Linked DNA regions of Drosophila melanogaster. The protein of the gene in region 1 interacts with the protein of each later gene in a pairwise test. Each region holds a gene or a part of one and is shown in the gene's direction. Other genes may lie near its edges.

Region 1 (5,473 bases):
CAACACCTACCCTGGAGGACCCAATGCAATCGATTCTCTGCGTTCCAGAACAGATGAAAATTGATCAATATAATAAAAGGAAAACAATCAAACAATACGACAATCTTTCACTGTAATACTTCAACTGAACAAATAACCAACTCCCACTCCGCTCCTGCTTATTGACTTTGGGATTCCTCGAGGAGGGCTCGTCTCAAGCCCACCTGAAATAAATCCGCTTAGGCGGAGGAACACTGAAATGTGAGAACCATCTACCACATATACATTCGTTCCCTGACGGCATAAATCAATGGACAATGGACCATTGAATGAAACGGAAAAATCCGACATAATGCCAAAGACACGAAACCAGGGAGCAGAGGGAGGAGCATTCAGTAATTGCCGGTTTTCTAGGTTTGCTAGTATGTACATGTACCGGGAGATTCAGAAACTCCGAGACGGTTTTTCTTCAGCTGTCCAAGCTGAAAGTCATAAACGCTTGTTGTTCGAATCGAGATCGGGCATTGAAAACTGCAGCATGTCTGCTATTCAGGTGCCACAAAGAAAGCCGAAACAATAGCGGGTCGGCCGGCAGACAGCCTGGACGAATTGAGCGCCAGGATTAGAGATTACACAGGGATCCTCTACACAGAGATCCCTTTTTCGGGCCCGACAACAGGTAATTTCGTCGAAAATCGTCGGCCACGTAAACAGACGAGGCAAGGACAACAACTGGTTTATGACACCCTTTGAGAAGATTGCCAGCCTGCGGATTAGGAACTCCCTATTCCCAATTCAGGTAACAGCAGCCGATTAGTTTTGGTCCCATTTTTAGGGAATGAATGAAATGCGTTGGGGAAATACCTGATCCGTTTTACCGTGATCCCCAGGTACGTGATGGGAAAATCTTTGCCATTTGGCCATTCCGTTTTCGTGGGAGGCTCTGCAAGTTACCTAATGTTGCATAAAACGGATGGCCAGGAGGAGGGGCAGCACAGTCGTCTCGAAGACAGCAAAGCGAACACCACTACTCTTAATCAAGAATGGATAACTATAACCACAAGAAATTCACTGGAGCTCTGAAGCGAAAGCGCAGCATGGATGCGGACTCTGATGACGATGTGGTCTTCATTATGGAACAGCCGGGCCAACGCACTCCAGAGCAGCCGCAGCCTAAGCGTCGCTTCTTCCGACCCTGGATGGATGAGTCTCCGGAAGAGGAGCAACCACAGCCGCCACGTAAGATTGTGGCTACATCGACACCGCCGCCACAACAAGTGGATGGCACCTACCACGCTAACATGGTGCGCAATCACCACAAGCGCCGCCAGCGCAGTCCACAGGAGCAACTGCGTCGGGATCGCAACACCTTGGCCAGCCTGCGCCATCGACGCTCCCAGCAGCAACAGCAGCAGCTCATCGAACAACAATACCTGACCAGTCGCATTCAGCACGAGGCCAATCTGCAGCAGCAGATCCGCCTGAGTCTCTACTATGTGCGCTTCCTGCAGCAGGCGATGGCCTCCACGGAGCCACTGCCTCCCACACAGCCAAGGCACATGATGCCGCGCCAACAGACCACCACCCAGCATCCTTGAAGGGTGGACATGGTGCAACGACTGGGCGCTGCTCAATGCGCCCTAACTTATTGTAGAAAAGCTGAATAGTGATTGTGATTACTTTTAAAGTTTAATTTATTTATCTGGTTGACTAAACAATAAACACACTAATTGTTATCGAAATAACTTGTAATTTTTATAGAATTTTGTAATAATTGGTTTTTAGTTGGTTTCTGATTGATTGAAATCTAACTCGGGGTCTTATTTATTGAATCTTATTTGGAAGTCTGATATTTCTTTTCCGCCGTTTAACATCATGAGGATTTGTTCTAGACCAAAACTGACCGGAAGCATCAGCTCATAAGAGTTACCTCACTTGGTTTTTCTGCCATTATATAACATTAAATACATCTTATGTAATTAATTTCTTGGAAGCGCAATTTGCAATGCTAATTAAGGTGTGAAGTAATTCTAGTGATTCACATAGCCAGACTACAGTGAGAATTGAATCGATTCGGCACGAGTGACATATTGTGGGAAACACGGAATAAAATTGTAATTTATTTCAGTTGGATTTAATTATTTAATTTATAAACAAATCAGCATAGCGAACGAACAAAGTGCTTGCAAAATAATTAAAACACGGTGACAATAAGATCCGCCTTTATATTTAAATAATCATCAATGAAATCATCATATTGTTGTCCGCGATTAAAAATTGCGCAGATAAATAAATCTTAATATACTAAATTATTTACACGAATAGTGTTTTACTAATTCATTTATATATATGATATATGCCGTATACATGTTTGTACGAAGTTTATTTAACTCTTTAAATATTTTTAAAGGCGTGTTTTACTACCTAAACTAATAAATGGATTAAATATATTTAATTCACCTCTCAAGACTTCCATGAATGCAATTCCTTCTCCGTAAACTGAAATCGCATCTGTCAGCAGTCTTTAAAAATCCTTGACACTTTTTTCTAACCACCGACCAGGACATATAATGCCATGTCATTCTAGAGGAAAAGTGTTCGGCAAAGGACCCTCGAGAATTTCCAGGGAATTAAAACAAAGTGTGCTGAGGAACCAGGAGCCAAAGGGACCACACACGGTGCCACAACAAATTGTGTCATGCAGGTCAATAAAAAAATGCATCGCCTGCATAACAGTTGTTCGGTCCAGAACTTTCCTGTTCCGGTGGCCACATTTGTCCGATAATCCAGGTAATCCACACACCAAAAAAAGGATAATGAGGCAATCCTGCGACGACAATTAGCGCTGTGATAGAGCAGGTCATAAAATATGCTGCTTAATCCAGGACGGAGATTACCTAATGCGGAATGGATGCGCTAATCCCTTTGTTGACAGACCCAAAACAAAGGGATTTCCCTATGTGGCTACCTGTACCGCCTACCTACTGTGCTTATAACCAGGATATCAATCTCGAAGCCAATCATTCAGCAAGCGATCGTCCAACGAGTCACATCATCACCACAACTCATTCGGAGTCATATTATCGAAATACAAAAATGGAGAACTCATCGAGCTACACCCACAAGAAGTTTGCCGTCAGCAAGCGGAAACGGGAAGTGGACCATGACAAGGAGAACCAAACTCAGCAGTCGGAACAGCCGATCTTCAAGCGCCGTCAGACACAGGGATTCTTCCGACCTTGGTTGGATAATGAGCAGAACCAACAGGCGGAGAAGGAGACGTCAACGGCGGCGAAACCCAGTGGCCCAGGATCCTCGGTCAGCCAGTACCGTGCCAACATGGTGCGCCGCAGTAACACCAATCGTCAGCGAAGCCCCAAGGAGCAGATGCGCCGCGATAGAAACACGCTGGCTTGCCTACTCAGCCGGCGGGCCAAGCAGGCACAGGAGGAGCAAGTGGGTCAGCAGTACGAGCAGTATCGGAGTCATCATGCCGCCATGCTGGAACAGCAGGTGCGCCTCAGTCTATACTACCGCCACATCCTCCAACAGGCGGTGTTCCAGCGTGCCATAAATCCGGCACCGGGTCACATCCTGCCGCAGCAGCAACAACAGTTCCTCCAGCAGATGGCCCTCTCCCAGCAGATGCTCATCTTTGGTGGCCAGCACTGCTGACCGTCCAAAATCATATCATAATCAGCGACTATGGATAGCCCAATCATGTGATTTAGTTTATTAAGCCTTAATTATTAATATTTATTGTTGACTTTGAAATAAATCAAAAGTTATGCATTTAATTTAAATTGCCGGTTTTGTTAACTGGGGGTTATCACTTGGAAAATTCGAAATTTAATCTAAAATGATTGTTAAATTTGTTAGGAGGTCAGTGGATCGCAACCATTACATTTTTTTACATATGTATAATAATGCTATATATATTAGGATTTTAAACATCTTTAAGTTAACCCACCGGCTTGAAAAATAGTAAAATTATATAAAATGATTAAGAGATCAATTATCATTTCTAATTTAATTACAACCTAATCGTGATCATAATATATAAAATTTATGGTATAATTTTTAGCTCAATAAAACTAAAAGTACTGCTATCAAAAGTAGATTATCTATTATTTGATATGACTTTTGGTAAAAAAGGGCTCAATCAAGGGCTCAAAAACCACTTACTCCAGTGACTTGTCTGACCACTGGAGTAAGTGAGTCATCGAAGCATTGACAGATTTTTCCGAGAAACCATTTACCCAGAGTGCCATTACCCAGCAAAGTTCAACTAATTGTTGTCTAGCTAATTTTCATGGCGTTCTCATTTCGTGGCGGCTTTCGTCAAGGTTCAAACCCGCCACAAAGAACCACATTTTGGACTGGGCCAAGCTTTTTGGCATCGCCTTCAACGCGGTGGATTGTTGGCTAATGATATTGACAGAGATCGGATGTGGCGATATGGAGATATAGACAAAGTCCAAGCAAAGCTTCAAGTTCAATTGGCCAGTGAGACGGAGTTTTGCAAGCACACACAGCTCGAAGCGCAGAAATGCAATTTTCAATGTTAGGCCAGTTGGAAAAAAAGAAGAAAAAAGCCAAAAACAAAAAAACCAAATGCAGCCACAAAAAAAAAAACTCAACAATTAACTGAAATTGATGTTTGGCTGCATGGTACAAGTGCAAAGTGGTTTACTGGGTTGTTGGAGTTGCGACGGAAATTTGCGCCATAGGAAGTCGGACTGCCACAAGTACTATCAATGAAAATTAAAAGTAATTAACTGCTCGCGCACAGCGATTGCGCAATCGCCAAAAGAGTTAATTATGTTATGTGCAGGGGGCTTCCCCGGCAGCATGAATACTTCGACTAAATCATAGCTCCTATTTTTCACTCACAGCCCGATGCAGTTGGCTGCATATGAGGCGGGTGCACTCAGTGACGAACATCAGCCTATGTTTTTTCCATCGGATCACCCGAACTTCCTCATAGACCGTTGATTTTCTACATGGTTAGGCATTATGCAAGTTAGCTGGAGTGAAAGCAAAGTTAGGATTGCAATTGGCTTTTCTCTTGGTATGCATCGAAACCCTTTCTTTGTGACCTCATTCTATGAAATTAGTTAGAATTGGCCATTACAAATTGATTAATTAACAATTACACGAGTAAATATTTTAAGAAATTCTATGAATAAGCAAACCCTTGAAATTAATATCAGTTTTCAATTACTTTCAACTCAAGCTAGACAAATTTGCAACTAACAAGCTAACGTTATTTCGCTGAATTCATTCACACTTTTGGCCATGTTCCGGAATCAGTATGACAACGACACAACCACTTGGAGTCCGCAGGGTCGTCTCTTCCAGGTGGAGTACGCAATGGAGGCGGTGAAACAGGGAGCAGCCACCGTGGGACTCAAGGGCACCGACTATGCCGTGCTGGCCGCCCTGTGCCGCACCTCAAAGGACACGAACACGCTCCAGCGGAAGATCATGCCGG
Region 2 (7,142 bases), on another chromosome or scaffold:
GAAGCCGGCCAAGAAAAACTGCCGCTATTGCCACAAAGGCGGAATGCTGCAGTTCAGCAGGTACATGTGCAACACCTGTCCCGATAAGCCGGGTCTATGCCAGGAACCCTGCTTCCTTCTCTGGCATGAGCAGCTCAAAAAAGTAATCAGACAGACAATTGGACGAAGTGAATAAAAATGGATTATCATTCGTTAAGAGGAACAAATGTTTTTTGTTTAAAGTTTCACACACAAGTTCTTTAAAATAAAAACTTATCCTTCCCCCTTTCAAATATAAATTTCAAATTCACTCATCGTTAAGGTGGCTTTGTATGGACAAATACCATTGGACACTCACCCTGGGCGTGCTTCTGGCGCAACTTGTTGAGAATGTTGGTGGCATCGAAACCGGCGTTGTCGCACAGCTGGCGAGGAATGATCTCCAGGCCCTTGGCGATGGCAGCAATCAGCAGCTGCTCCTTACCGGCAATGGTGCGCGAATAGTCCCGCAGCAGCTTGGACAACTCCATTTCAATGGCACCGCCGCCGGCCACAACGGAATCGTGCTTGATGGTGCGCCGCACGATCATAATTGCGTCGTGGAGGGATCGCTCAGTCTCCTCCAGAAACTGTTCGGCACCGCCACGCAGAATAAGGGTGCTCGTCTTGGCATTGGGGCAGCCTATTTAAAATGGAAAATAACAAGTGGTTGTTAAAACGAGTCCTTCAATTAAGTATACGAATAAGATTCTTACCTTGGAAGAGGTTGAAACGTTCGCCGCCCACTTGGCGCTCCTCGAAATGTTCGCACAGGCCGAGTACATTGGGCTTAATGTCGTTGGCCGTCGTCATTACGGCTCCACCGCAAGCCTTCATGGTGCGCTTAAGATCTTCTTCGGGAACGCGGCCGGCGCAGAATATGTCGCGGTCGGCGAAATACTGTGTGGCCACATCACCGATGGGCAGCTTGGAGAGGACAACATTGGCGCCGGACTCGTGGATCTTAGCCAGCTTGTTGTAGAGGATCTGCCACTCGGCGTCGACCACCTTTTGGTACTCCTTGACGTTGTCTACGCGGATCTCGGCGTTATCGCGCTCAGCCTTAAGCTCCAATTCGATGTTGAGCAGGGCAATTTTGCAGTTGTCATAGGATTTGGGGGCCATTTCAAAGCCGGCATAGGAAAAGGTCTTCTTGAAGGCCACACCCGACACTAGCTGTGACTCCTCCAGCGAGCCACCGGTCACCTTCTTAATTCCAATCATGTTGAGGGGCAGCAGCTCATCCAGGGAGAGCACAGCATCGACTACAATGCGGGAGAAGAAGTCCTTCTGCTGGTGAATCAACTTGGAGGACATGGCAGTGGCTGCGCACTTCTCAAGGAGAGCACGCTGCTGGTCCTTGGACTGTTCGACAATTTGGACGGCCATTTCGTTGATCTTTTCCATGCAGAGCTGCAGGGCCTTGCGGATGGCCTTAATGATGACTCGTGGGTGCACTCCCTCCTCCACGAAGGGTTTCACCTGCTTAAGGAACTCGCCGGCCAGCAGAACCACGGACGTGGTGCCGTCACCCACCTGAAGGAGAAGTCGAATCAAAGCTTTAGCAGTGTCACGTGCGTCTCAGGGGTGCCAATCACTTACCTCGGCGTCTTGTGACTTGGCAATGTCCACCAGGGTCTTGGCCGCCGGGTGGATGATCTCCAGCAGCTTCATGATGGTGGCTCCATCGTTGGAAATCGTCGCCTTGCCGTGGGCATCCACAATCAGCTTGTCCATGCCGCGGGGACCCAGAGTGGTCCGCACTGCGTCCACGATCGACTGGCAGGCATTGATGTTGGACACCAGTTGCGGCTTGCCCTGCGACGAGTCAGTGCCTTCTTTGAGGAGCACGATTTGCGGTTGCTGCGGATCATACGGATATAAGGCGAATATATAGTAAAAGTCTCCAATTAGTCAGCAGATGTCGTCGGCTTGCGAGAAGCTTCTTTGCAGGTTATGTTTACAATCTCATGCCGCTCGCGGACGAGTCCATGATTGGGATTCACTTGGTTAGCCTCGGATTATTTCCAGCCGGACTTACCATATTTATGTGATGGGGTTGGCCTTTAGCACGTATTACAGTTTAAAACAATAAAGTTCCTAGCAGACAGGCGGCAACTTGCTTTTCGTTCACGTTTTCCGCGATGAGTAATGGGCCAATCGATTAATCGTTGTTATTTTGTATTTAATCGATGCTTGCAGCCAGTGTGAACGTTTGGGGACTTAGTCGCACTTTACAATGAAATTTGAAATCCTAACTCATAAAAAACTATCTATTTATTTCTATCTTGCGATTTTTTAACTTTATGGTACAAAGCTAGTTTCCACACTTTTTGATGAACATTTTAAACTAATATGATATGCAGCTGGTAGTTGTTATCGAAAAAGTTATCGATGGCTCCATGACGTCACTCTTGACCGGCGAGCGGTTTTTTGAAATTGCTCCCAACTTCAAATATAGATTTGTGATTCCTTCTATTTATATAAATTTGGCGATGCACGCACGCATGTCGCTTATTCCATTTTAGAAAGTGCGCCGCATCTTCAGTTTGTTCCTACCGCTCAACTTGAGTGAGTTGTGCACCGAGCAGCAATTAAATGAAAAATAGAAGAGTCATTTGAAAGGCCAAAACGCCAGAACATTCAACCGCAAATAGGTTTAAATGAAAGAAAGCATTCTAAATCTAATTCGGTCATGTGGAATTGGAATTTTAGTTGCCCAAGACTCCTCTTAACGACGACATCGAACCACAAGGGATGCCAATGGATACTAACCGGATACTAGACAATTGCCGAGTGATTATGAAACAAATCAGGATGCTGAACCGACTATGAAAAATGCAAATAGTGAGTAAGAAAAAGAAAAGTGAAGTGGGGCTCCCACACGATAAGGCACTCAAATCAAAGTGCAAAGTTTGTTCCCCTTTTGTGCTTTTATTTAGATTTCCCCTGTGTTGACTGACTGGAATCGGAATGTGTTCTAATTGTGTCCATCATTCATCGCGTCGTTAAGGCGATTGTCAAATTTGTATGTGATTTGTGAAGATTCTTCAGCTGTTGGGGATTATAGACATAAAGATATTCATACGCAATACGTTTGGCATTTAAATCGAAATTAAAAGTATGAAATTTTAATTGCCATAAAAAGACTATAAAAAAGTTGAGCAACTTAAATGTTTTGCAAGTATGTTTATTACCAAATTTATTTACTTCTGGTCTAAACATATAATAATAGATGCACGTTTCAACAGCTTTAATGTCACGTCTTCAGATTGCTCTTAAACTTAAACTAGCACAAATGCTTTGTGCTGATATATGTTTGAGCAACGCGCCTTAATCATGCGGAAGTACTTATAACAATGTTTACACAGATATAACAATTTAACTGAATTTTATCATTACTTTATCAAACTTATACCGAATTAATATCCAATCAACCTGAAGTTCCGATATCTTTTATTTCACTGTTTGTTATTTTGACCAATTTCGTGGCGGGTTGTGTGCATATTTTGGTTATTAATAAACACGCGACTGGTTTTTTTTTGTTATGAAGTCGGGAACCGGGAGGAAAACATCTTCGGCTTTCAATAGATGGGCTCTTCCGGCTTCACGTCGGCCATTCTTCGGGGCACGCACACAGACCCGAGCTTTGCCACCCCATAACCCCAAGAAGTGCATGAATAAATGGCAAAGCTCCTTTTAATTAAATGGAAATGGAGGCAAATGTGAAAGAGCTTGCGAAAGCTCGAGAGGCCGAGTTAGTCAATCGGTGTCCGGCCGAAACGAAAGATCTCTGCTATCGCCGAGCAACGAAATTTACCTAGTATAGAACACTTCTTTTAATTTACAATTCAAATTGATTGCAACTAATTAGGATACTCCCCAAACGAACCGAACATAACTCACTTCTATTCCGACGAACTTGTGTAACTTAATTGATATAATTTCGAACTTCCTGTACGAACTGTGTGAATATATTTGAACAAAAATATATCATACTTTGCTTAACAATTGTCGAAGAAGTGCTCCACATACCGACGATATTCTACTTGGTCTGTGCGCGAAAAAAGTTGATTGAAAATTAACGTATTGACGTCATTACACTGCAAGAAACAGTGGCAAGCAGGCAGTAAATAAACTGTTTACATTACAACATCGTCGGTCGACTTAGTGAGTGAGTGAGTGAGTGAATAAACATATACAGAAGTTTGAGGCACACCAACTGTTGGTCTACGACGCCCAAGGATTTCAGAGCTAATGGTGCGTATACGTGATCTTCGGTGAATCAGCCGAAAGAGCCGCAGACTGTACACTCGACGGCTGACCGACTCATCGTTTGGCAATATTTTCAAATTGATATATGACTGAAAATATACATACTTAAAGAGCAAAAAAGAGACTTTCATCTGCCCATGTGGATGGCTGTGGATGTGGATGGCAATCGAGTGGGTGGCTTTGCTCGTATAAAACCAATCCCAACCAAGCCGGTCACACCGAGGCTGTGATGTCACCATGGCGTGTATGTCGACCCCAAAAACACTTTATTATCGAGTGGACTGGGGGCGGTTTTAAATTTAATTAAATGAAATGCAACATGAGAGCCATCATTAGCCCCAGTCCTTCAGTTTATAGAAAAGCCACAAAATAAATATTACATACATTTGGAACGAACACCTCTTTTAGGGTAGTTTTTCCACTAACAGTTCGGTTTTGAAATACGTCCAAGAGTCAATATCATAAAGTTTACTAATAATTACTTATAATTTATGTTGATAACCAGAAAGTAATAAACTTGGGCACCACTCACTTAAGATCCCTCCCTATTAACACCTAGTGTATCGAGCTGGAAAAACAAATCAAATTCCAATTAGGCGCCAGAAGGTTGCTAAGTACACAAATCTGTCGCTCTACATGTGTATATAGATCGTGGCCTTGATAAAGATGATCGGCCAGAAATCTCGGAGAGCATTCTATGAACATATGAACTGTGGGCCTACTCGTGTGTGCACCTCATACAGTATATATATAGATGCTTTGTTATAATCTTTGGGGCGGATGTGGGAGCAGTGCAAAGAATTCTGTTTCTGTAGAACAAAAAAAGTAATGAAAAGCGGTTTTATTGCGTGTAAAGCGCCCCAGTGGGGAACCTCACAAAACAAAAAAAACACATGTACATATGAATGTACGTACATATTCTGTTCTATTCCAAAAGGCGCGCCACATGACGTCATTAAGAAAAGTCATTCCGGACCAGTTTATTTGGTAAGCCCAACGCAATTGGCGTTGTAAACTATTTCCCAGTCCCAGGGTGCCTATATGTTTCGTTTTTCATTCATATGTGTGGCCCGACCCGATGTGGCGAAATGAAGGAAAAAGCTTTTCCGCTGAAATCAATAATGGGGGAAACTTGTTGATTAGTTCAACCCAGTGAAGAAAAGCGTTGAAGAGTCTACGGCTAAACAGAAGCCATTGAAATGCTGACAGACAAAGGGGAATCTTTGCGATTCTGAAGAAACAACCTCCATGCGGGCAAAGACTCGGAATTCTGTATACTGTGTAATTTTTCAAGGCATAATTTGTAATAAGTAGATAAGAGTAGGGCTTTTATTGTATATGCTTAAAGCATTATTAAAGCCACATTATTGTATACTTTATTTTGAATATATCGCTTACAGATTGAGGAGAATCCAACGATGACCAGGTGAAGTATAGCAGGGACTTTCGGCAGGATCGGGGTGCACCGGCATATGCAGTACTTGAAAAAGCAGAAACCCAAAAAAAAACGACGGCAACATTTTTATATACTAAAGTTACATAAAAATGGCTGAAAACCAAACCAAAACGACCTCTAGCAAGGGATGTAATACAATGAGCAGGACCGCCCATATCCTGGCGCCCCACAATGGGACTGTGGTCCGCCGGACGGATCCTGGCTCCAAACTCAAAGAGAGCTTCCACACGGAGAAGCACGATATCGAAGACTGGCAAACGATGGCCAAGAACAAGTTGAAGCGCAAGAAGAAACTGAGCAGCTCCCTGACTTCCGTTGGGGATACGGTGAATCAGGAGAAGCGCACTCGCATCGAGGGCATCCAGCTGCATTGTCGCGGCAAATTGCGACCCAAGGAGACCCAATCCTTTGAGGCCGAGAAGGGCCCATCTGCCGGCTCCCAGAAGCAACTGGGAAAGGCAGAAAAAGATCGAGAACGACCCGTAATAATTGGTGGCGTGACTACCACAAATGTGATAGCAGCACCTCCACAAAGGATCAAGAGAAAACTGCAGGAGAACATGGACACCATCCAGAAGCTAAATGCCCTCACGGAGCAACTGCGTCTGGAGGTAAATGAACTGAAGTCCAGTCTGATCACAGAACGCGGTGCAGTGAGAGCCTTAAGGTAAGTCCATTAATATACATATATACCAATAAGGAACGTGATAAGCCCATTTCATTTTACCTTAATCGCACCATTTTATATTGCATAATGTTGTGAAACTTTTTAAATTGAGTTATCAAATACAAATACATTCGTTTTAAAAGTATTCGTGCACTGAAAACATATTTGACCTTTCATGAAAGTGACGATTGGCAATCAGTAAACTCGGAAATAAATATACATGCAATCAGTTTGTTCAAGATTACATTTAAATATTTCTGGTTTCATCTAGATATAAAATATGATAGAATAGTCACACGTTTGATATTAAAACCCATTTCGATCTGATCTTTTGAATTTAAAGAGACATTAAAAAATGCAATCTATCGCTTTTTTATTTCAACCCAGGGCTCAGAATGACGCAGATAGTCGTCGGTGGAAGAGTGAAGTGAAGAAGTTGCAGCATACGCTGGAAATGGCCAAGAAGAGCAACGGTATAAAGAAGGCCATCGAATCGGGCCCAGAATCGAGTGGTGCACATGTGACCGCCGATGGCCTCATCAACTATGAAATCCAAAGACTGACTAACGAGATTGCCGTGCTGAAGGAAGCGAATCGAAACAAGGAGGAGAAGACCCAGGTAAGTGGACGCCACATCAACACAATCATCCGCCTCACATTGCATGCTGCATGCGATAGTTAGTCCCGCCGCTTTGTTACCGCCAAATTGTAGTTGTGGGTCAAGTG

The links. The genes of interacting proteins can lie anywhere in the genome.
Region 2: the proteins of CG16815 (region 1) and Pif1A come close enough for resonance energy transfer, tested with the Drosophila melanogaster proteins (one large-scale study listed by BioGRID).

What each region holds. Positions count from the first base shown.
Region 1 is NT_033779.5:13,226,831-13,232,303, forward strand, and holds CG16815 (uncharacterized protein), read left to right. Parts: upstream 1-3,001; 5' UTR 3,002-3,075; coding exon 3,076-3,654; 3' UTR 3,655-3,719; downstream 3,720-5,473. Other genes in the region: CG16813 (uncharacterized protein), read left to right, coding at 1,023-1,577; Prosalpha6T (proteasome alpha6 subunit, Testis-specific), read left to right, coding at 5,278-5,473.
Region 2 is NT_033777.3:8,796,598-8,803,739, reverse strand, and holds the start of Pif1A (PFTAIRE-interacting factor 1A), read left to right. Parts: upstream 1-2,563; 5' UTR 2,564-2,865; intron 2,866-2,960; 5' UTR 2,961-3,046; intron 3,047-3,795; exon of another isoform or gene 3,796-4,278; intron 4,279-5,693; 5' UTR 5,694-5,838; coding exon 5,839-6,416; intron 6,417-6,773; exon of another isoform or gene 6,774-6,803; coding exon 6,804-7,035; exon of another isoform or gene 7,036-7,094; coding exon of another isoform or gene 7,095-7,142. Other genes in the region: CG9839 (uncharacterized protein), read left to right, coding at 1-175; CCT7 (chaperonin containing TCP1 subunit 7), read right to left, coding at 338-661, 735-1,554, 1,621-1,881, 2,060-2,062; Ir85a (ionotropic receptor 85a), read right to left, coding at 7,095-7,142.